Lonchura striata: one gene and its partner. The protein of the gene in region 1 interacts with the protein of each later gene in a biochemical or structural test. Links are inferred from orthologs where the notes say so. Each region holds a gene or a part of one and is shown in the gene's direction. Other genes may lie near its edges.

The links.
Region 2: the proteins of MIS18BP1 (region 1) and MIS18A form a complex in vitro, tested with the Homo sapiens proteins (2 studies listed by BioGRID). The link is inferred for Lonchura striata from reciprocal best matches to the Homo sapiens genes MIS18BP1 and MIS18A.

The regions. Positions count from the first base shown.
Region 1 is NC_134608.1:1,095,682-1,107,193, reverse strand, and holds the start of MIS18BP1 (mis18-binding protein 1), read left to right. Parts: upstream 1-6,438; 5' UTR 6,439-6,569; coding exon 6,570-7,011; intron 7,012-7,264; coding exon 7,265-7,770; intron 7,771-8,511; coding exon 8,512-8,588; intron 8,589-9,192; coding exon 9,193-9,320; intron 9,321-10,398; coding exon 10,399-10,489; intron 10,490-10,721; coding exon 10,722-10,885; intron 10,886-11,512. UniProt on the Homo sapiens protein: Required for recruitment of CENPA to centromeres and normal chromosome segregation during mitosis.
Region 2 is NC_134603.1:157,146,495-157,157,156, forward strand, and holds the start of MIS18A (protein Mis18-alpha), read left to right. Parts: upstream 1-5,954; 5' UTR 5,955-5,955; coding exon 5,956-6,247; intron 6,248-6,339; coding exon 6,340-6,406; intron 6,407-7,085; coding exon 7,086-7,208; intron 7,209-9,582; coding exon 9,583-9,676; intron 9,677-10,361; coding exon 10,362-10,432; coding exon of another isoform or gene 10,433-10,442; exon of another isoform or gene 10,443-10,662. UniProt on the Homo sapiens protein: Required for recruitment of CENPA to centromeres and normal chromosome segregation during mitosis.

The DNA.
Region 1 (11,512 bases):
AAAGCAAAACCATTCCAGGTAGGAGGGAAGGAAGGCACAGTTTTCTCACGGAGGTGACAGTCACCAGAACAACTGCCTAAGAGTTGGGGCTGTTTCCTTTACAAGTCAGAAATCATTCACTGAAACCCAGAATGTCCTGAGCTGGGAGGGACCCACAGGATCATCCCAGCCCCATCCCGGCCCAGCTCCCCAAAATCCCACCCTGTCCATCCCTGGCAGCGCTGCCCAAAGGCTCCTGCAGCTCCGGCAGCCTCGGGGCCGTGCCCGTGCCCTGGGGAGCCTGGGCAGTGCCAGCCCCTCTGGGGAAGAGCCTTTCCCTGATTCCAGCCTGAGCTGCCTGGCCCAGCCCCAGCTGCTCCCGGGGTGCTGTCCCTGGCAGTGTCATTTCTGTGCCTCACGTGGCAGCAAAATCAGCCAAAACGCTCGTGTGGTGCGAGGGGACCGCGAGCGGGAGGGCGGCAGCAGCAGCTCCGTGTGAGCGACGAGCAGCCGCAGCTTTCCCGAGGCAGCTGCGGGAATGGCCGGCTCAGCTGTGCCGCGCACCGGCCCGCTCCCGTCCCGCAGCCTGGCTCCAGCGGCTGCTCCCGGGCGGAGCGGGATCGCGGCGCTGGCAGCGGCAGGGATGCGGGCAGGGATGCGGGCAGGGATGCGGGCAGGGATGGATGGCTGCAGGCAGGGATGCGGGCAGGGATGCGGGCAGGGATGCGGGCAGGGATGGATGGCTGCGGGCAGGGATGCGGGCAGGGATGCGGGCAGGGATGCGGGCAGGGATGGATGGCTGCGGGCAGGGATGCGGGCAGGGATGCGGGCAGGGATGGATGGATGCGGGCAGGCAGCTCCTGCCACCTCGTGGGGACAGCGCTCCTCTCCCATCGCACCTGGGCGCTTCTCCTTCCCTCCGGAACGCTGGGCTTCCCCCGGCATGCAGAAATGTTCCCTCACGAGAGGAACCCCAGCCCGGGCACAGCTGCTCGTAATTCATTTTTTTTGTTGTTCATTATTTTTCTGCTATCCCTAAAGCACAACCTCCTTTCCCACTCCCTCCTTCCACCCCCCGAGCTGCTGGCTGGGAACATAAATAATCCTAAACCAGAGGAGGAAAAGATGAAATAAGAATAAAACACCCTAAGCACAGTGTGTGGTGTTCTGTCAGTCTGCTTCTTCACAGAGATACAATGAAATCCAGCAGGAAAACGTTTCCTTAGGTTTAATGAAGACTATTCACTAATAAATCAAACCTATATATGTATAAATATATGAAATATAAGTATTTTCTTCCAGCTGCCCCAAACAAAATAAACATTTGGGTTTTGCTTCCAGACATGCAATTAATTAAGATCCCAGAAAGCTGAATAAATATTTTTCTTATACCTCTATACCTGATATATATAATTTACAGGATTTGATTAATTGACAAGACTTGTCAAAGGAACCTCCCAAATAAAGGGAAAAACCTTAAATATTTCCATGAAAAAACACAGAAAAGCACACCCCCCTCAGCCAAACAGCATGCAGGGGTGTTCTGGGGTTTCTCCCCAGTTTATCCCCACACTGCAGATCTCACCGAGGTGTCTGGGCTGTACAACCCACACCACAGACTTTTGGGGTGGAATTTCTGCAGCTGCTGCCAAAACTGCTGATCCACCCAGGGCAGAAACTTCAGCTGCATGGGTTGCACCTCCACTGGGACCTAAAGAGGCAGAAGTCTGGAAGGGGCACTTGGAAAAGTTTTTAGAATGGAATCATCATCCTTGCCCCATGAATTTTTTTTTTTTTTTCCATGAAGATTTTGATTGCCATCAGCCACCTTCCCAAAGAGAAGCAGCAGGATTCCCAGTTTTAGGTGCTTCCTGGTAATTGCAGAGATCCACATGGATAAATCCCAGTAAAACCCACTTTCCTCCTTCTAAACCCACAGCACAAGCAGCCGATGAGGCTCAGAAGTCACTTAGAGGCCTTGAGCTAAATCTGCATTTATTGTTTCCAGGTGCACCTCTCTGCCCCAGAACCACTGACACTCAACAAAAATCAAATTATCTCTTTTACCCTCAACAGCTTTTCCTGTTTCATCTGGATTAGTCTTTCTTTTCTGAATAATAGACCCGATCTCTTCCTTTATGGAACAAACAGCAAACAAGCTTAAAATATATTCAAGAAATGCCATTTATGGGAAAAAAAAATGTATTTCTGCCAGAGGGGAAATTTAGATGGAATATTGGGATTTAGGAATTCCTGGCTGGGAGGTTGGAGAGGGGCTGGGCTGGAATTGCCAGAGCAGCTGTGGCTGCCCCTGGACCCCTGGCAGTGCCCAAGGCCAGGTTGGACACTGGGGTTGGAGCAGCCTGGGACACTGGAAGGTGTCCTTGCCCATCCAGGGGTGGCACTGGGTGGGATTGAAGGTCCCTTCCCACCCAAACCATCCTGGGATTCCATTTGGGAAGCTCCACTGGCATCTGGTAACACAAACAAGAGGGGACCTGCTCAGCCATGCTAATGTATCTTAGGAATTCTAACAAAATTTGTAGGAATTCCACAGCTACCCAAATTACACCCACAAATCTCACACACGCGTTTGTTCCTGGAAAGGAGGAATTTCTCCTTGGGAAATTGGGCTGAGGGTGTGTGCTTTCCTGTGTTTTTTTCATAGAAATGTTTAAAGTTTTTCCCTTTTTTTGGAAGGTTCCTTTGACAAGTCTTGTCAGTTAATTAATCAATCCTGTATATTGAGTATAGAGGTATAAAAATAAATGTTTATTCAGCTTTTTGGGATCTTAAATCTTGACTTCCTGTGGATTTTTTGTTCCTGGAATGAAGCACAATGGTGGCTTCTGCAACTAACTGGAGCAAAACGAATTTTCTTTGCTTTTGATCATTTAGGCAAAAGCTGAGCAGATAAGGAGTTAAGAAATATCTGTAAGGAGTAAATGATGGCTTGAACAGGGGGTTTTGTGCTTTTTAAGGACACATGAACCAAATGCAGCCATGCCAACTGTGTGAAGTCAGTGCATCAGAAACCACAATCAGACATTTCACTGATGCAAACCCTAAACACAGCTTGTTATCCCTGTCGTAACTTTTCCATGGTCTCATTCTCTATTCCACCTACACATCTGCCAGCCCCATTCCTTCCCTGGGAAGCTCCAGCAGGACTGTCAGAGCCCAGCACATCCCTCTGGCTGCCCTGGCTGCTCCAGACCCTGGCACAAAGTCACAAACACCCGTGGCTTCCATCTTAGCCTGTGGAAAAAGCTGCCAACTCTGTGTGAGGAATTACAGCCACAAGAGTTTGAGTAGTGTGGGAGTTAACACAGGGTGGAAAAGTAGAATTTTGGGGTTTTTAGAATGGGGTTCAGGGGTACAAGATGGAGGAATTTGGACATATCCTGACCTTCTTCTTGCCCTCCATGTCTTGCTGTGCTGGTGACACTTTTCTGTTGGTTTAAGGTACAGACACACTGTCCAACATAGATGATAGATATTGGCTATATTGTAAATATAGCCAATATAGCGCACATTGTAAATATATTGTAAATATAGCACACATAACTTTTGAGTATATAATGTAAACTCTGCCCGAGGTGAGACGCAGATTGCCATGGCCGAGCTGCTGGACAGAGCTCAGCAGGGCAGAGAAAGAATGTTCTGGATAAGGAAAAATAAACACCCTTGAGAAGCTGATCCTGCACATTCAGACTTCTTTAGCTGCATGGCCTGGGAAACAAGGGCTTTTACACTCTTGGGGTCAGCCCAGCACCGAGACCCTGAGACAGGAGCAGCCTAGGAGCCAAGGCCAGGCAGATGCCAGCAGAGGAAATGCAAAGCTCCCTTGTGTTTCCATGGCCCCCTCCCCTGACACTCACCTGCCTCTGATCCCGCACTGCAGCCCTGGGGGCTCCTTCTCCCGAATTCTCTGGGGAGCAGCAAGCACAGCTCCCTCTCTGCTCTGTTAACTGGCCTGCTAATTAGCACGTGCATCTCCTGCAATGAACCCAGTCTTTCATTATTTTAACAAGCTGAAAAGCAGCAAACAGGACCCCAAATTAACACCTTGTTTCTAAAGACAGCTGTTTATTATCAACAGGCACACACTGAAGTAATTTTGTACCCAGACCTGAGTTTCTAACTCACCTGCTGGGATTAATTTGGGAATCAGACACACCTGATCCCACTGCAGCTGCTTGTTAGCAGGACTACAGCTGGCTACACCTGTGACTCCAATTTATCCTCTATTTTTTATGCATTATTCAAGTAACTTCCCCTGTTTGCCGCTTGACCTCTGAACCCCTACTACACGATCTTCCGGCCGGGACACACCAGAGCCTGCCAGGCCTGGGGCTCTGCCTCCGCCGGCTCCCGCACACCGCAAAGGCTCCGGCGAGCCGCGGCTGCGCCCCGCGGCGCTCCCGGGGCTCTTCGTAAGCTCCGGACCTTCCCGTGGAGCCGCGTCCCGGCCCCGCCTCAGCCCCGGCCCGATCCGGTTCCCCCTTCAGCCCCATCTCGGCCCGGCCCCGTTCCGTCCCCGCCTCGGCCCCGTTCCGTCCCCGCCTCGGCCCCGTTCCGTCCCCGCCTCAGCCCCGTTCCGGTCCCGCCTCAGCCCCATCTCGGCCCGGCCCCGTTCCGTCCCCGCCTCAGCCCGCCCCTCTCAGCGCTAACGGTTGCGGAGCCCGCCCACAGGCGGACCGAACCACCATGCCGAGGGGAGGGGAGCTCGAGCATAGCCCGGGCCTGCTCCCGCCTGCCTCAACGCCATCCGGCAAGGTTTTTATTTCGTAACACCCCCCCGCGCCCGCGCTCGGTGGTCTCGGCCCGCAGCTCCGCCAATCGGCGGGCGCGGCGGCGGCGCTCGAATCTGTGCGCGGGCCCGTGAGGGGAGCGCGGCGGGCCGGGAGCGCCGCCGGGCCTGTCCGCGGCCATGGCGGGGCCGGGGCTCGCCGGGGACCGCCGCGGCGGGGTCTGCGACATTATCGCCACCCCCAGCCGCCGCTCCGCCTGTGGACAGCCGCCAGTGCGCTCGGTGTTCCTCAGCAGCATTCCCGCGGGGACGCTCACCCCGCTGAAGCAGCTCCTGCAGGGCCAGGGCAGCGGCGCGGCCGCGGGTGGCCGCGCCTCGGGCTCGCAGCTCGGGGAGCCGGAGCGCCGGGATGATGGCGACAGCCGGGCCGGGCCCGATCTCCAGAGCCGGGCCGGGCCCGATCTCCAGAGCCGGCCCGGGCCCGATCTCCCGAGCCGGCCCGGGCCCGATCTCCACGGCCGGGCCGGCCCCGATCTCCAGAGCCGGCCCGGGCCCGATCTCCAGAGCCGGCCCGGGCCCGATCTCCAGAGCCGGGCCGGCCCCGATCTCCACGGCCGGGCCGGGCCCGATCTCCAGAGCCGGGCCGGGCCCGATCTCCCGAGCCGGGCCGGCCCCGATCTCCGGAGCCGGGCCGGGCCCGATCTCCCGGGCCGGGCCGGGCCCGCCGCCGAGCGGCCGCCGCAGCGGAGCCTTGCTGCGGAGCCGGCCGCGCAGGAGTCGCCGCTCAGGATCTTCCAGCGGATGAAGGCGCGGGCGGAGCGGCAGCGCGCTGTCGCCCCCGACGTGATCCTGAGCCCCGCGGCCCCGCAGCACCGCAGCGCCCAGCCCGGAGCAGGTGAGTTGTACGAGCCCCCGGTGACTCCACGGGAATGGTGTGAATGCCGGTGTGGATAGCTGGAATAAAGAGCGCAAAGGTGTAAGTAAACCTGAGTTTGGGTCACAGAACTTCTAGGCGTCTTGTGTTGTAGTAAGTGACATCCCTGATTTTCACGTTCTCCTAGACCTCTTCATTCTTTACACTAGTCCACAATGCCAAATTACAGGAATTATTAGCAGTTCTTTTTCCCGAACGGTTTTTATTATTTTGGAGCACACTGGAGTCTCCTGTTGAAAGGAAAGAGCTCTCAAAGCTGCTAGCAATTGCCTTAATCCTTTCTCCTTGGAAGGCCCATGGAGAGGACAAAGCCCCTTGACACCAACACCTTGGGAAGCAATGATTGTTCCACAGCTTCTCCAGGAGAGCTGTCTCAGGTGTGAACATTTTCCCTCTGGTCCCGCTCATGGCTCTTCCAGGATCTGAGAAGAGCAGCCAGAGCCCCTTGGTGGCTGTAGAAAACATCAGCACTGGTTGCACCCCAGCTGCTGGGATTAAAAAAAGTTGGGTGGTGAAGTTTTTTAGTGCTGAAATATGTCTGCAGCAGTGCTGATGTCTCTTCCCTGCTCTGTATCGTAGAGGATTCCCTCCCTTTGGGTTTCCTTCCCCTCTGCCTCGCTATGGCTCTAATTGTTCTTTATGTTGTGTTCATGAGTGGGTTGGATGTGTGCAACACCTTCAAAAACACCTTGTAACTAAAACCAAAATTGCTGTAGCTATTCCTTATGGTCTGTGCAGGGAAGAGAAATGTTCATGGAACCGTGCCTGGGGTTTGAAATCCCACTGGGGTACGTTCCTGGGCTCTCCCTGCTGGTTTTTATCATTATCCATGACATGGTGAGATCCAGTGCCCTCTCAGCAGGTTTGCAGCTGGCACCGAGCTGGATGTGACCCTTTTTTACAATGGGGGTGGGCAGGCCCTGGCACAGAGAGGAAAGAGAGGAAAAGAGCAGCTGTGGCTGCCCCTGGATCCCTGGCAGTGCCCGAGGCCAGGCTGGACAGGGCTGGGAGCAGCCTGGGACAGTGGGAGGTGTCCCTGCCATGGCAGGGGGTGGAATGGGATGGGTTTTAAGGTCCTTTCCTACTCAAACCTTTCTGGGACTCTGTGGGGATTTTTTTAATAAAAAGCATATAAAAGATCATATTGTTCCCACCTCCGCCCCCCATGAAATGTTTTTCTTCCATAAATCTAAAGAGGGTTTTGGGGTTTGTTTGTCTGGTTGTTTTCCAGAGCCAATTTTGCCTCATGTTCCCAGGGAAGAGCCCCCAGCAGAGCCTCCCGTGCTGGAAACCCCCCAGAAGTTCTTCCTGCGGGTGAAGTGGCAGCTGCTGCAGCAGCAACAAGGTACTGGGCTTGCTCTGAGAACACAAACTCCCTGCAGGCAGAGAGCCATGGCACTGCTGAGCTTGGGAAAGCCCTCTGAGGCCATCAAGTCCAACTGTTCCCCCAGGACTCTCCCCTGTCCCCAAGTGCCACATCCACAGGGCTTTAAATCCCTCCTGGCATGGGTCTCCCCCACCCCCTAGGCAGCCTCTTCCCATGCTTAAACATCCCTAATTTTTTTGTTATTCCTTTTTTTTTTTATTTAAATGGGCAGCTAGAACACCTTCAACCCAAACCCAGCAGAATGTTCCTCCTCCCACAACTGCAGAGAATCCTTCAGGGCAGCCTGCTGGTGCTGAGCAGCCAGGGAATGAGCCTGCACAGGATGTGGACTCTGATAAGGATGATGTGGATGTTTTCCTGGTGGAATCTATAGAAGTAGATGCTGATGGAGAAATGTCTCGAAGTGCAGTGTCTACTCCTTTGCAAGTGAACTCCACCCCTTTGAAAAACGGGGATTGGGCGAGAGGAAGGTGGGGAAATGGAGAACATAGAGAGCTTCATGAAGACAGGAGAGAGCTGCAGCCCAGCAAAAAACCAGCTGCTCCAGCAGTGGAAAAGGCACCCGAGGCTAATCCTGAAAAGTCCCCCCAGCGCTTCTGTAGCATCATGCTCTGCTCTCCAGTCCAAATCCCAAGGAAGCAGAAGCTGGCAGAAGAACCCAAGGCCCCTTCGGATAAACCTCCTACTGATCAACCTGCTGGCAAAGCACACAAAGAGGTGGGAGAAAATAATCCCTGAGGGAAAATTAGAAATTCCTCTGGGCTGATAGCTGGAAGTTATTCTTTTTCTTGTCAAAAGCAAGGAACACTGAGAGGAGAATAAATTGTTATTCCATTAGATTTTACCAGTAAATTTTCCCGTGCAAAGGGTTCCTTTTTTTCCATGCTCCAAGATGACAAACGTTGAGGGTCTGGATTTTTTTATGTAAAAGAAGCACTTTTGGTTTAGTGTGCACAAGCCATGGTGTGATCAAGGGCCCTGCCAGCTCCTGGCTGCCTGCTCAGATCCAGAGAGGAGAGACCTTTCCCAGCTGGGCATGAATCCATCCAGGAATGCGCTGTTGGGCAGGGGAAGGGCTTGGCTTTCCTATGGAGCATCCAGCCTCCTGATCAATTTAACTGGAGCAGAATCTCTTCCTAGGAGAGCAGTGCTGCATCCCTGGGATTCCCTGGCACAAGCACACCTGCCCAAGGCCTGTGCTTTCCTTGTTCTCTGGGGAAATCTGGGATTGCAAGGGACTTGTTCTCTTCTTCCTCACCATGGCCTAGAGTGTTTGTTTCTGAACTAAACCAAGTTACCTTCAGGACTGAGCCGAGGATCAGATATCCTCTAGTATTCCAGATTTGTAGCTTAGAAGATACTGAAAGAGATACTTCTGTTATTGGATCTGATCACTGAGGGGGCCTAGGTAATAAATACTTCTAAATGATTTATTTTCTTTTTTTTTATCTGAAACAGAAAAACATCTGCCTGAACAGTTGGAGGATTAAAGTGCTGCCTGGAAACATGGCAATCTGTGTGGATGGGAAAAGGAAGTAAGAACCAATTTATTATTTAAATGTAAAGTAAACCATGGACATCAAACATGAGGTAATGGTGCAGAGCTTAGATTTTGTCAAGGAAGAGAGACAATTCCTTTGTGTGGGCAAGAGGAGGAGAGCCAGCATCCAGGGAGCTACTGGTGAACTCATTTCAGAGTCCTGTGCTGAGATAATCAGAAAGCTTCAGAGAAATAAATCAAGTATCAAATAGCTCTGGACAGTTTGGGTTGGGAGGGACCTTAGAGCCCATCCAGCCCCACCCCTGCCAAGGGCAGGGACACCTCCCGCTGTCCCAGGCTGCTCCAAGCCCCCTCCAAGCTGGGCTGCAGTAATGAGCTGGCTTCATCCCAGCTGCTGTCCCACGAGTGACACCTGCAGCGGTGACTCGTTCACTTTGTCCCTGCCCCGGTGTCAGGCACAGAGGCAGAGCTGTGTCATTCCCGGCTAAGAAGGAAAACTGAGCCCAGAGCACATCCTGCCTGCACCTGAATCCCTCAGAAAGCAGGGATCACCACCCCTCCCTGATGGAGTGCCAGCATTCCAGACTGCAGTCCCTTCTGGAGGTGATTTCCGTGGTTGCTGTTGTGTCTTTTGCCAGGGACACGAACCAGCTGTGGCACAGCAGCGCCGTCACCGAGCGCATCACTCACAACCAGGTGCAGACCTCCTCGGGAACTGTCTACCTGCTGCAGGGCAAGATAGACACAGCTGCCATGAGGAAGGAGGGTGAGCTGCTGATTCTGAATGCCTTACAAATAACAGACTCTTTCAGCTTGCTTTGGAGCATGTGGGATTTGTAAGGAAATGGGATTTCCATGCAGATGGAAATACAGGACTTGTTCTCCTTGCTCTGTGTGCTGCTCTGGCACGTTGGCTGGGAATGAGCTGCTTGTCAGTGCTCACAGGCAGCTCTGAGGACACAAAGATTAGTTGGAATCATGGAGCTGGAGGGACCCACAGGGATCATCCCAATCATAGCCCTGCCCAGCTCCCCAAAATCCCACCCTGTCCATCCCTGGCAGCGCTGCCCAAAGGCTCCTGGAGCTCCGGCAGCCTCGGGGCTGTGCCCATTCCCTGGGGAGCCTGGGCAGTGCCAGCCCCTCTGGGGAAGAGCCTTTCCTGATTCCAGCCTGAGCCTCCACCCCACTTCCAGCTCCAGCCGTTCCCTCAGCATTACTTCCCCTAACACAGGTGTGCCCCAGGTGTGTTACACCATATTTACACAACACTCCCTCACTGTGGGCTCTTTCAGGCCCATGGATGGAACCCAGGGCACAGGGAATATTTCTCTGCCTGTCCTGAGATATCCTGATCCCCAGGAGAACACTGCTTTTAACCTTTGTCTATAGAGAAAGCTTCCAAGACTTTGGGATGAATTGGAATCTGAGTGTGTGAAGTCAACAGTAGTATAGTTTATCACAGAGTGAAAAATTTAGAGTTTTGGGTTTTTAGTATGGAGGTGGAGAGAAGACAAGACAGAGGATTTGGGTTTTGTCGGTTTTGTCTGATCTTCTTTTTGTTCTTCATCTGCTCCATTGAAGATTTTATTACTTTGCTAAGAAGTTATATTTGTTTCTATATTAATATTCTGAGAAGGAAAAGTAGCAGCATAAGGCTTGTGAGCAGAGTGGCTCTAGTGCTGCAGAGGTTTCCTAGACCCAAGAGTGAGTGGAGTGTGCTGGATGGAATAGTCTGGGCCAGTTCCTCTGATGTTGGGGTTCAAGAGGCTCTGGGGGTTCTCCGGTGCCCCGAGGGAGTGCAAGCCCTGCTGAGCTGCTGTTCGTGTCCCCTGTGCTCCCCTCAGGGTTCCCCTACCGCTTCATCAAGAAGTTCACCTTTGGCTTCAACAGAAGGTGGAAGGAGTACGTGGAGGAGTTTCTTGAGGAAAGGAGGAGGTAACTTCTTCGGACATTCTCTATCATTGCAGTGTTCTAAGTGTTCATTGAGGCTTTGCTTTTTGAGGGTATTACAGCAGAGGAGTGTGAAATGTTTTAGATGTGGGCATGAAACCACTCTGCTGTGCTGGGCCACCAGGCTCCTGCCCACCAGGGCTTCACATCCTCCCTTTTGTTAAAGAACAGCTTCCTCAGTGGCTGTTATTTCTTGTCTCAAACTCCAAACCATCAGGAAAGAAGGAGTTCAAGATAGTTGTGGGGAGGAAAACGAGAAGAGTGACTCCATGGGGGGAACTGATGTGTTGGAGACCACAGAAAGCTCAGCAAGCAGTGCAAAGAGACCTGCACTGAGAAACTCCACCTATGAGGTATCACCAGGGAATGATGAGAACATCTGTGAGTATTTAACAATCCTTTCCTTTGGAAAAGACACTGGGGCTGTCTGGAGTGGGTTGTGTTGGTTGTGTTTCCAGGAAATGGCTGTAAAGCTGTAAAGGCCCCTGCTTTGGCTCAGCCTCTGAGTGCAGTGCCTGCCTCACCACGGCACTGACAGCTCTGGGGTTTAACTCGGCTCTGGGGTTTAACTTTTCCTTGTCCAATGGGCCTTTCCCAAACCCCATGGTGCTGTTTGTTAGTGCTGGAATCAGGTTTTCTTGCTAGCACTGTAAAAGCTTTTCACTCATTACTCCCATTTATATTTCGCTCTTATTTGTCTCAGTGAGCAGCATGTGACAACTTTTCTTTATCATTCTCCCTCCTCAAATGACTTTCACAGTATTTATAACCTTTTAAACAAAGTAAAAGTAAAAAGTTCACCACAGTAAATTTTATCATTTGTGAAGCTTCTTACTTCAGTCCCGTTATTTCTATTGCAATGCTTTGAAAAGAACAACTGGGGATGTTTTACATTTCCCTTGTAGTCCAGTTTAAATACAACATTGTTCCTCTTGCTTGTGAAACCTGCTAAACTGAATTTTCCATGCAGTGTTTGGGATAAAACTCTTCTTTCTTTGGGCTTTTTTT
Region 2 (10,662 bases), on another chromosome or scaffold:
ATTGTTTTCTCACAATATGTCTCAAGCCTAGAAAAATGATAACATAGGATGGTTTCAAAGCCTAAATAAATCTTACTGAACACTTGTTTTTTTTTTCATTAATGATTTCTGGGCACTCCAGAAAACATTTCTAGACTTGCCTTGTCTAGAGCCACAGTGGCTCCTTTGATGGCCAAAATTAAATACATGAAGGATAAATATGTGTATTTTAAAGCCAAGTATTTTGCTCAGTAACATGATGAAAAAGTGAAAAAAACTTTAAAAATGAATATTTTGTTTAAGTCTTGCAAGCACTCTGAGATTTTCAAGTACACAGACTTCTCCTGCCACTTTTTTAGGAACAGTAAATTCTTGGTAACATGCCTCTGTTACCCTGCAACTTCACATCCATTTCCATGTCTATTGTGTTGTTAGTCCGACTCCTGCCTTGTGGTTTATTTGAGCAAACTGCCTTTTTAAAATTGTTTTTATTACCCTTTGTGAGCATACCAGAGGCCCTAGGTGCCAATAAATGAGAATATTAGTGCTCCCTTTGACTGCTGTTTCCCTTCCCTCTGCTTGTTTCTGACCTAATCCTGAATCTCTGACCAGCCTGCTGAGCTGAATTTTCTGATGATAAAAGGAGGAGCAGTGGGTCAGGAGACACTCCGACCAAATACTGACAGAAGTGTCCCCTCTGTGCAGTTATAAACGTTATGTGTCATTGCTGCGTCACTGGAGGCAGTGAATGTTTCCTACAGGTTATTTTTTCACACCAGTATCTACTTCATCTCTGGTTATACTTACTTTGCTGGCGTTGATCCGGAGCAGGACATACACAGCAAAACAAGGAAAAGAAACATCACAAACGCAGCAAGGCCGACCCAAAAGGCAATGACGATGGAGTCTGTGGGCACAGCAGAGTAATTCTGTCATGTGCATTCTGCATGGCAGAAATAAAACACAGTGAGATGGTTTATCATCTCTAATAAAGGTGTGCCGTTTGAATCATTCCGTTTCTCCTTTCAGAGAGAGGACTCCAAGTGCCAATTTGTTAAAGGTCTTGGGAACCTCCTAACAGGGTATGGCAGCAGGGATGAGGGAAGGGCTGGGAAAAGCCTCCAGAGAGTGTTCTGGTGGCAACATCTGGTGCAGATGTTGGAACATGGCTCCTTTTACATAACCATAGTGCAGAAAGCCTGAGTGGTTACTGCCTAATTCTGCAGGATCTTTCAGGAGAGGCCCCCAGGAAGGGAATTCCAGCCTTGAGAGCAGTTTATACCAAGAGAAATTGCAAGGGGAGTTTGTTGCCAAGTGCCTGTGCCCCTCCCAGCACATCAGTGCAGTGGAAGAGAATGTGCCCCTTGCCCTGTTCAGCTGCAGTGCCCCTGCAGCCACCATAGAAGAGGGCAAGATGCTGCCTGCTTTGCCAGGAGCACATGGTTTATTTCAGGAACAAGAGGGCTGGCAGTGCCAAAGTGTGTCCACAGCCAGTTTAGAGGGAGTGTGAGGTGGCTGGGGGAGCAAAGGGAGCTGCTCTTTCATGGAGGCTTCAGTGCTGTGCTGATTTTATTGCCTGAGCCTTGGGCTCACTTGAGGGAGGGGACGGATCTGCTCCTGCCCCCACAGCACCTTTGGCCACTGGTTCAAAAACGCTCCTTCCTGGTGTCACTGTGGTGCTGGTGGTGTCCTTGGGAAGTTTGGGTGCTCTGCCCTACATTCACAGCTGGTGGCTTACTTCAGATGAGGTGGAAAAAGAAGGGTCACTGACTCCAAGACAAATATTGACCAAGACAAAATAAATCTTCCCTCTGCAAGTACAGAAAACATTGTGTTCTTTGAAACAGGTCCAGTATGTTTGATTGAGTGCTTCTTTGTGAAAAAAGTTCAGTCTGTGTTGGCATCAAAGCCACAAATAGATTAAGGGAATGAGCCCAGCTCCTTTTAAACCCAAAACTAGAGCTGGCCCAGCTGTTCCCTCATCAGAAACAGGAGTTTAGGCTGGGCTACTGAAAAATATCAGTGGGGAGGGCAGCTTGTTTTATTCTTCCTTTACCCAGGGACATTTTGAAAAGCCCAGAGTTTTGAAGTGTTCCACACCATTGGGACAGAAATTAAGAGTTTGGATTTATAGAATTCCCTGTCAGAGCTATTTTGGCTTTTTCTTTTACAAACAATTATAATAGATGTTATGGAATTCACCGAAGCCAAATAAATTGGCTTCAGGGCTCGGGTGGAGCTTGAATCAAGATTTCCTAGGTTTAAATTCTGCAATTAATTGGTTTTTGCTTGTTTGCTTTTGTTTGGTGTGGTTTTTTTTTCTTTAACTGGAATAATGTATTTTCGTATTTTACCAATCTATAAAAACTTTCCTATTGCTAAATTTTGCCATCACATTTTGTGCATATGTGTGTGAGTGCTTATAAATAGCCTATTAGATCATGGGCCAATTAAGATTTTTCATTATTTTTGTAGAAAATTGAGAGAGATGCACAACATTACAAATAGAAAACTTTTCATCTGGGTTTACCTTCATTTTTATGAGACAAATTCAGTCTCAAAAAGTTTCAGGAACTAGCCACACATAGAGGAAAAGAAGTGCAGAGATTCAGGTCTGTGTTTCATATTAAAAAAAACCCAAAACCTAGCAGGCAAAAGTGAACAAGGGAACTGCAACCCCATCGCAGTGTTATGGAACTGTGTAATTCCCTGGGGCTGCCCCAGCAATGGCCCTGAGCACATGGAGCCGATAATCCCAGCAGCAGCTTCTCAGGGAATAAGAATGTAAATATACAAAGACAAACTATATTCATTGCTTGACTGGTGCCTTTACTCAAAACAACAAAAAATCCCAACCAGCTGTTGGGAATTATTTCCCTTGGTGTTTTCATTAGAACTTGTAACCTGCTGATCTCCCACTGGTATTTGGAGAAGGAAGAATAATAGTACCAAGAGGATGCACTCTCTATTCCTCCTAGGCTGCTGACATGGAAAAAATGTCTATTTTCATCTTCTTAGAGTACAAAAATGCCTGAAAGGTGGTAAACTTCTCTATTTCTCGGGGGGGGGGGGGGGTGTCAGAACAAGTGGGACTAAAAAGTCAATACAAAATCAGTTTACCCTGCTTTTTAATGGAAATAAGGCTGATGAGATCACTCTTAGGCACATATGGGGTAATTTCCTCCATAAAACTGTCAACAAATTTAAATTAACAGAGGGTGAGCATCTTGTCTCAGAAGCACAGTTTCTATAAATTTCAAGAAAACAGGCAGCAGAATTAAAATACTGTATCAAGGAGGGAAGTGCCACAACACAAATACCATCTCTGTTACGCACTGGGTGATCCAAATGATAGTAAAATGTTATTAAGGAGAAAATGGGGGAAGGTTTATTCCTGATTTTTGGGTTTTGCTATGCCAGCCACATGCCAAAGACTTACATCTAGCTTAGCTAAGCAGTTTGGGGTTTCTCTAGTTGAATTTGGGGGTAATCATCTGCCCTAACTTTAAAATTGAGAGAATCAGAGGAGCTGCTCATAATTTTCCTGGTCCCAGCACCACCAAATGTTGCTCTGCAACATTAGAGAGCAAGATTTTCTTTACAGAAGGATCTGGATATTCACACCACTTTCTTTAAGGTGAGGCGCTCTAAGTTTGGAGGCAATAAACCCTCAGCTGATCTGAATGCACAGAAAAACTTTTCTAGAGGGGGTGCAGAGTAAGTTTCTCCTTTTTCCTACTGCTGTTCAGGCAAGAGAAGGACAAGCAGCTCCTAACACAGAATTCAACCTCCACCATCAGAAAGGCAGTTTCTTGCATTTTTAGTGAGAGAGACAAGATTCTGAAAGGCAATCGCAATTTCTGGGAACAGATAATAATTTCGCTGTAGTAACCTTGGGAAAAACAATTTTAGTCTGTGAATCCACATCTGAACAGTTACAGCCATCTTCAGTAAACTAAAGAGCAATGAGTAAACCCTGTAACTTTGTTAATGAACTGAAGATACAACCACAGGCAGAGGCTTGACAGAAATCAAGGGAAAGCACTGTCTGCAGCCAAGTGACTCCAACACACCCTGCCTGCTCTCCCTTGGTCTTTGTCAGCCCACCCATCACCCTCGGTTAATCCGCTGGGACACAGCTTGTCATTTTATTTTAGCAAAACCTAATCAGTGCAGTTACATTAGAAAAACCAAAATCATTTGCCACTACAAGTAGCCATAACAAGACACTGCTGTTTCACTGTGCAAAGCCAGGTGTGAAATGGAATGAGCTATGGCAAGGTCAGATTGGTGAATGCTACTTCATATCCTTTGGAAATAAACTGCAAAGCCCAGCAGAATCGGTTTCCGCAGCAGCAAAGCATTTGCACAATAATGGATACTATTACTTTATTAGTTCAGCAGCACTAAATCAAAGGAGGAAAGGTCAAAGAATAGGTTTGCAGCTTATTGTTCCTGGCTAGTGGAAACATATATTTCCTTTACTAAAAGTCTGAATGTTTACCCATTGCAATGTCAGCCTTGTCTCAAGATGAAAACACAGTATTTTTATGAAAACCTCTGCTCTTTCAGTGAACTTTGGTGACAGTAGCACACAGATAACCAGCACGCCGCACTACAGATTTGCAAGTCATCAAATTTCCCCTTAGCAAATGACCAAAAAAAAAAAAAAAATCTGTCCTTGTAAAGAAGAATTAGTGTCAGCAGTCTTATAGCTTCAAATACTGTAAGATAAAGCCCAGAGTGTTTGTTAGTAATTATCCAGCCTGAAGGCAAACACATATTCACACAAACCAGGCACTGGCATGGACTCTGTTGCAGAAAACAAAACCAGGTCAGTGAGACAAGGTACCCAACATTTTCCCTGTGTAAGATTAGCACCTACCACTCCACAATACTTACATTTATTAACCTTCAACTTGCTTCCATCTACTGGAATTGGATCTATGTAATCCCAGTAATATTCATAAGACCAGAAATACTCCGAGGAGTTTGTTCTGTTAGCCATGTCAGTGGTGCCTTTTAAGCCAGCTCAGAACTCTGACCCACTACTTTGCTTCGCAGCACTGCAGCGCCCTCAGAAAGACAATTGCACAACTGGTGTCTGTGCCAATCACTCTGGGGTCCTGCAGCTCAAGGGCTGCCTTGGGACTGAAAACATTTCGTGGCAATGAGTGTTAATGTATGACAGAGATGTACGAGGAGCCCTGAAAACGCAATCCTCGCTTCTTGCCGGTCACTCATGTTATTTCTCAGGATGTTTTAAACTGAGATGGGTGCCCTGTAACTTAGGGACAGGTTGGACAAGTGCCAGCTGGATCACAGACCCTTCTTTTCGAGCAGTGCACTGTTCCTGGGAGCTCCCGAGCACAGCCGGGCTGGAAAACATTCCTGAATGTATCTGGATGGAAAGGACTGGGGTCTGGAGGGGTCACGCCAGGAGTGGCTGAGGACACTTGGCCTCTTCAGCCTGGAGGAGACTGAGGTCAGAGCTCACCGGGAGCTGCAGCTCCGGTCTCTGCTGCCCGTGAGCAGGACAGGACCCAGAGAAGAGCTGGAGCTGGATCCGGAGGGGTTTAGGTTGGCGATCAGGAAAGGCTCTTCCCCAGAGGGGCTGGCACTGCTCAGGCTCCCCGGGGCACGGGCACGGCCCCGAGGCTGCCAGAACTGCAGGAGCCTTTGGAAAGCGCTGCCAGGGATGCCCAGGGTGGGACTGTTGGTGTCTGGGCAGGGCAAGGGTGGCACTGGATGGTCCCTGGGGGTCCCTTCCAGCTCAGGGGGGGATCCCTGACTTAGGAGCGACCTGATAAATCGCCTCATACAAAACCGATGTACCGGAATAACCACACCCTTTGTCGTAGTTCCGTGCCCTTACGAGGTCCGAACGCCGCACGGGCGGCGCGGGCGGGCCCCGGGGAGCGGTTCCGGGGCAGCCCCGGCGAGCGGGGCGGGCGGCGCGGGGGCGGTTCCGGGTCGATGTCCGCCGTCACTGCCGCTTCCTCGGCGGGCCATTCGAAGGCGATGCTGGGGGCCACTGCCGGTCCCTCGGCGGGCGGGCAGGACCCGATGGCGCTCTGCCCGGAGCTGGAGTACTCGCTGTCGCTGCTGGAGCCGGGCGGCGGCCGGGCCGAGCGGCAGAAGCGAGAGCGGCGGGCGGACGCGGCCCCCATGCCCATGGTGTTCATGTGCACCGGCTGCAGGCGGCCCGTGGGCGACACCTCGAGCTGGGTGTCCAACGACGAGGAGACCGGCTGCATCCTGCTGCGTAGTGAGTGCCGGCCCCGCAGCCCCGGCGTGTCCCCGCCGTCCCTCTGCCATCCCTCCTGCCATCCCTCCTTCCCTCCCTCTCTCCCGCTGCAGGTGCGGCCGCCAGCGTCGCCGTGGACCCAGAGCGGAAGGTCTCCAAGCTGCCCGGCGAGTGCGGATGGTGAGGGCCGGTCCTGGCCGGGCACAGCGCCGGGCACCGCCGGGGCTTCGCGGGGAAGGCGCTGAGGACAAGCCCGACCAAGGCCCCGGGGTGCTCGTGGGCCCCCAGAGCCCCTGGAACTCTTATGTGGGGTGCTCTGTACAAGCGCTTGTGGCCTAAGGCAGAGGGATTTCTCACAGGGACACAGAGCCATTGGCAAGGGGAATGGCATTAGGATGAAGGAAGGCAGGTTTAGATGAAATATCAGAGGAAGTTTTTCCCTGTGAGGGTGGGCAGGCCCTGGTTCAGCTTGCCCAGAGCAGCTGTGGCTGCCTCTGGATCCCTGGCAGTGTCCCAGGCCAGGCTGGACACTGGGGCTGGGAGCAGCCTGGGACATTGGAAGGTATCCCTGCCCACAGCAGGGGGTGGAATGGGATGAGCTTTAATGTCCCGACCACCATTTAGTGATTCTGATGGTCTTCCTGAGGTCAGTCAGCCTGAGGAGCTATTGCAAATTCAGGCTGAAAGATGAATGCTCATAATTTACAATGTGTAAAGCAAGAATGAATACCTAAAAAAATTCTAATGCATAGGGAGGCTTTTTTTTTTGTGTGTGTGTTTTTTGTTTTTTTTTTTTAAGAAAAAGGATGGGGAGAAGTTTTCCTTTTATTTTCTTCTAAATAAATGTTATTTCTTACAGCATGGTAGAAACCTTATTCTGCTCTGGCTGCTCAACGACACTTGGCAGCATCTACAGGTGCACCTCAAGGAACCTCGACTATAAGAGAGATTTGTTCTGTTTCAGTATTGACTCCATTGACAGGTAAAGACAGAATGTTTGTGGGTCAGCCTGCCAGTTCCACTTCACTCACCAGGCATCACACTGAGGGTGCTCCTGTCATATCTCTGGGAAGTCTCGAGGGAGCTTTTCCTGCTGCTCTGTCCCAGAGTGGTTTTCTGTGTTGCTGCTGTTGGCATCAGAGTGCTCAGCTGTGAGGAACTGCCGTTTGTATGAGAAATTGCATTCCAGCCAAGAAAATATCACCAGGTCCAGGGCACGGGAAGGGTCCTTCTCATTTGATCAGAGGAGTGCCCAAACCAAGCTCCAGATAGGCCTGTCTGGAGTCCTTAGGGGTCGGATTATCAGCAGGAAGTGTGGCCAGAGGGGCTCAGGCAGAACTTGGGGCGTGTCCAACCTGCACTGCTCTGTCCTTGCTAAGGTGGCATTATGGTTTGACACTGGCACAATGTCAGCGCTTTAATGAAAATTTACGTTTTTTAACTGAATGCTGTGAGATGTGATTAGGAACAGAGCAGAGCAGGCTTGAGCTTAAAAACAAAGGAGAAAACTTTATTATTTTACAACTACAATAAAAGGAATACACAGAATTTAGGATGAAAACCTTTTAAACATTCTACTCAATTTCTACTAAAACACAGTGAGACACAACTCTGGATTCTTGATTAAGTTACTATTCTTTAGATAATTAATTTTTAGTTTATCAAGGGAGAGACGAGTTTGTCTTGTGTTATAGATCTCTAAGAAACACAATTGTAACTTCTTGTGTTTCTGTGTCACACATGGTACTGTCTGGAGAAAATTTGCTGTTGTGACACTTTCCCTTCCATGTCACAGTGCTCCCACCACTGTGCATGGACTGAAGCTGCTTATAGGGTTTATTTTTAAGGATGTTTTGCTAAGGACTAAAAGAGTAACAGTTTTTTCTTTTTGGGATAACAGTCCCCACCATTTTTTCCTTCTCTGGGGCTGAGGGTCTCAAGAACAGAGATAATATTTTTTTTTTGAAGCTAGAGGGTTCTGCTATACCCTCTTTAACTTTTTTTCTTTGTTTACTTTACTCTTGTACATTTTTAGCTTAAGTAATTTTATCCTCTTAAAAATGCAGTCTCTGTCTTGTAGGAGAAAATTGTTTTAGTCTATGGCAATACAAGAAAAGTCTAGCTAAGGCTACTCTAGTATTTCTTTCTACTTAGCCTTCTTCCCTCATTTTCTTCTGACATTTCGGTCTTAGGCTATCTCTTTTCTTTTAGATTAAGGAGGAGTAAGGTTTTGTAAAGTTTTTTTTTTTCAGGAAAGGGTTAAAAGTATTAAGCTCCCAGGATGGGTGAGATCTTACAGTAGGCTGCTAAACTCTTATGGCTGGGCACTTGCTTTTCTCTTATTTTTGTTTTCTTTGTGGTGTACTGCTGGCACATGATGTTAAATTTTTAGGTGGAACGGGCTCTTTCTTTTTCTCTCTCTCTCTCTCTCTGGGAGTTTGCTTGGGACATTTTAGTGGCTTTTTTACCTTTATGTCTTGTGGGGCAGCTGGTTTGGTTTCATTCTCCTCACCCATCTTTCTTTTTCTGGGTCTCTGATCTGCTTCAGTTACTGGTGGCATGGCTTCCCCTCTCTACTCGTGGTGGACTGGAACAGAAGAGAGAGTTCTCTTGGGAGTTCTTTGCTTTTAACCCCCTGTGTTCTCAGAGGCGTGTCTAATGCTTTTAGTGGTCACTTTAAGTGTTAATATCTAAACTTGATGACTGATTAATTTGACTCCAACTTTTAGAGAACACTCACTTCTATGTCAAACTATAATAGGTGGGCAAAGGCAAATCTGACAGCTGAGTATGTGCTTGACACTCTCACTCAGCCCTCTTAAAATCTGTCTAGAAAATGAAAGTGTGCATGGGTTTAGTCAGTTTATAGCACTGAAAAGTGGTCTTAAGGTGTTCTTCAGTAAGTATATAGTGAATCACAGCTTTATGCCAATGTTCTTTTATGCAAGCATTGTTCTAATGGACAGTGTTCACCCAAACTAGTTTTAATGCCTCTGTTTTTTTCTGAAGTTCACATTTATTTTGCTGTATTGCTGTGGATGTTCACCCTTGTGCTCTGCACAGTGCGTTTGGGTTTTTTTCTTAATTCTACAGCTGTGATACCTTATTTTTTGGCAGTAAAATGGCATGGCAGTAAAATTCTCTACAGCACTAACCTGGGTGCAGAATGCACTTTTCTTGGAGAATAATGCTGCTTCTCCCAGCCAGCGCTGCACTGTTCCTGGTGTCTGTGCAATTTTTCACTGCATCCTGCAGCTTCAGAATCCATGGCTGCCTCTCAGGGTTCTGGAGGAGTGCCGTGTCTGGATTTTTGGCTTCAGAGTGAGAAGTGCATGATCTAAACTGTGGCATCTCAGCTATGTTCTAGGAACCCCAGCAAAGCAAGCTCTTATTCATGAGGAACCGCTTACTCTTGAAAGTCGAGCTGTCTTGCAGGAGGTGCTGGAAAAGGTGAGATTTAACCTCATACCATTCTTTGTCTAAATCACCTCTGTGAAACCTTAATGTTCTTCAACACTTTATTTGGAACAGCTTATTTCACCCAGAGTAATTCAGTGCATTGTAGCATGTCATTGGTATCTTGAGTTATTCAAGATTTTCAGTAACTTTTCCTTCCATTTTTATGGTAATTAGCATTTTCTGTTTATCAAGCACAGCATTAGGTTCCTATTTATGTCTCAGTAATTTGGTATGTTTTTTCTAGTTAGTTCTGATTCACTTCTACAGATCTTCACTTAACTTTTAGTCATGTTTCTTCTTGCCTTTCGTGCAAATTGACTTACTGCTTTTGCTGTAGCTTTGTATTGAAATCTAAAATCATAAATCAAGTTGATGTTTTGCTCTACTAAAATCTTGTGACTGCAGGTAGAAAGAGCTGGGAGCAAATAGTGTAAGGAAGTTGTCCAGCTAAGCTGAGTGTGTTGCTCTGACACCGAGGCTGGAAAATTGTCCACTGTGTGGACAGTGAATGTTAGAGTTGGGTGAGCTTTCAAAGTATGAGAGCAGCAGGGAAAGAATCGAATGAAAAGAATCGGTGGTGTGAGATGAGATTTGAGCCCTTTTTAACATCCACATGTGCTCTTTGTGTTGTCAAATCCTGTGTGTAAGCCAGAATCTCTTCCTGGCTATTTTGCAGGTGGATGTGATACTCAAAGCTCTGGAGACAAGGCTGAGCACTGTCGAGTCATGCGTGGCTGCTCTGCACAGGCAAGTGTGACAGGAAATACATGCTGAGCTGCCGGAGAAGGCGAATGTGAGCCTTGGCCCTGCCATCCTCTGGGATCTCTGGGAACATTGCAAGGACTGGGAAAGAGCTGAGAGCCATGGAAGCAGCGCTGACCGAGGCTGTGTCCCAGCCAAGGAGTTCCTTTTATGTTCCTTAAGAGGATACCCCAGGGCTTTTTTTCTTAATAAAGACTTCTGATCAGACAATCTGT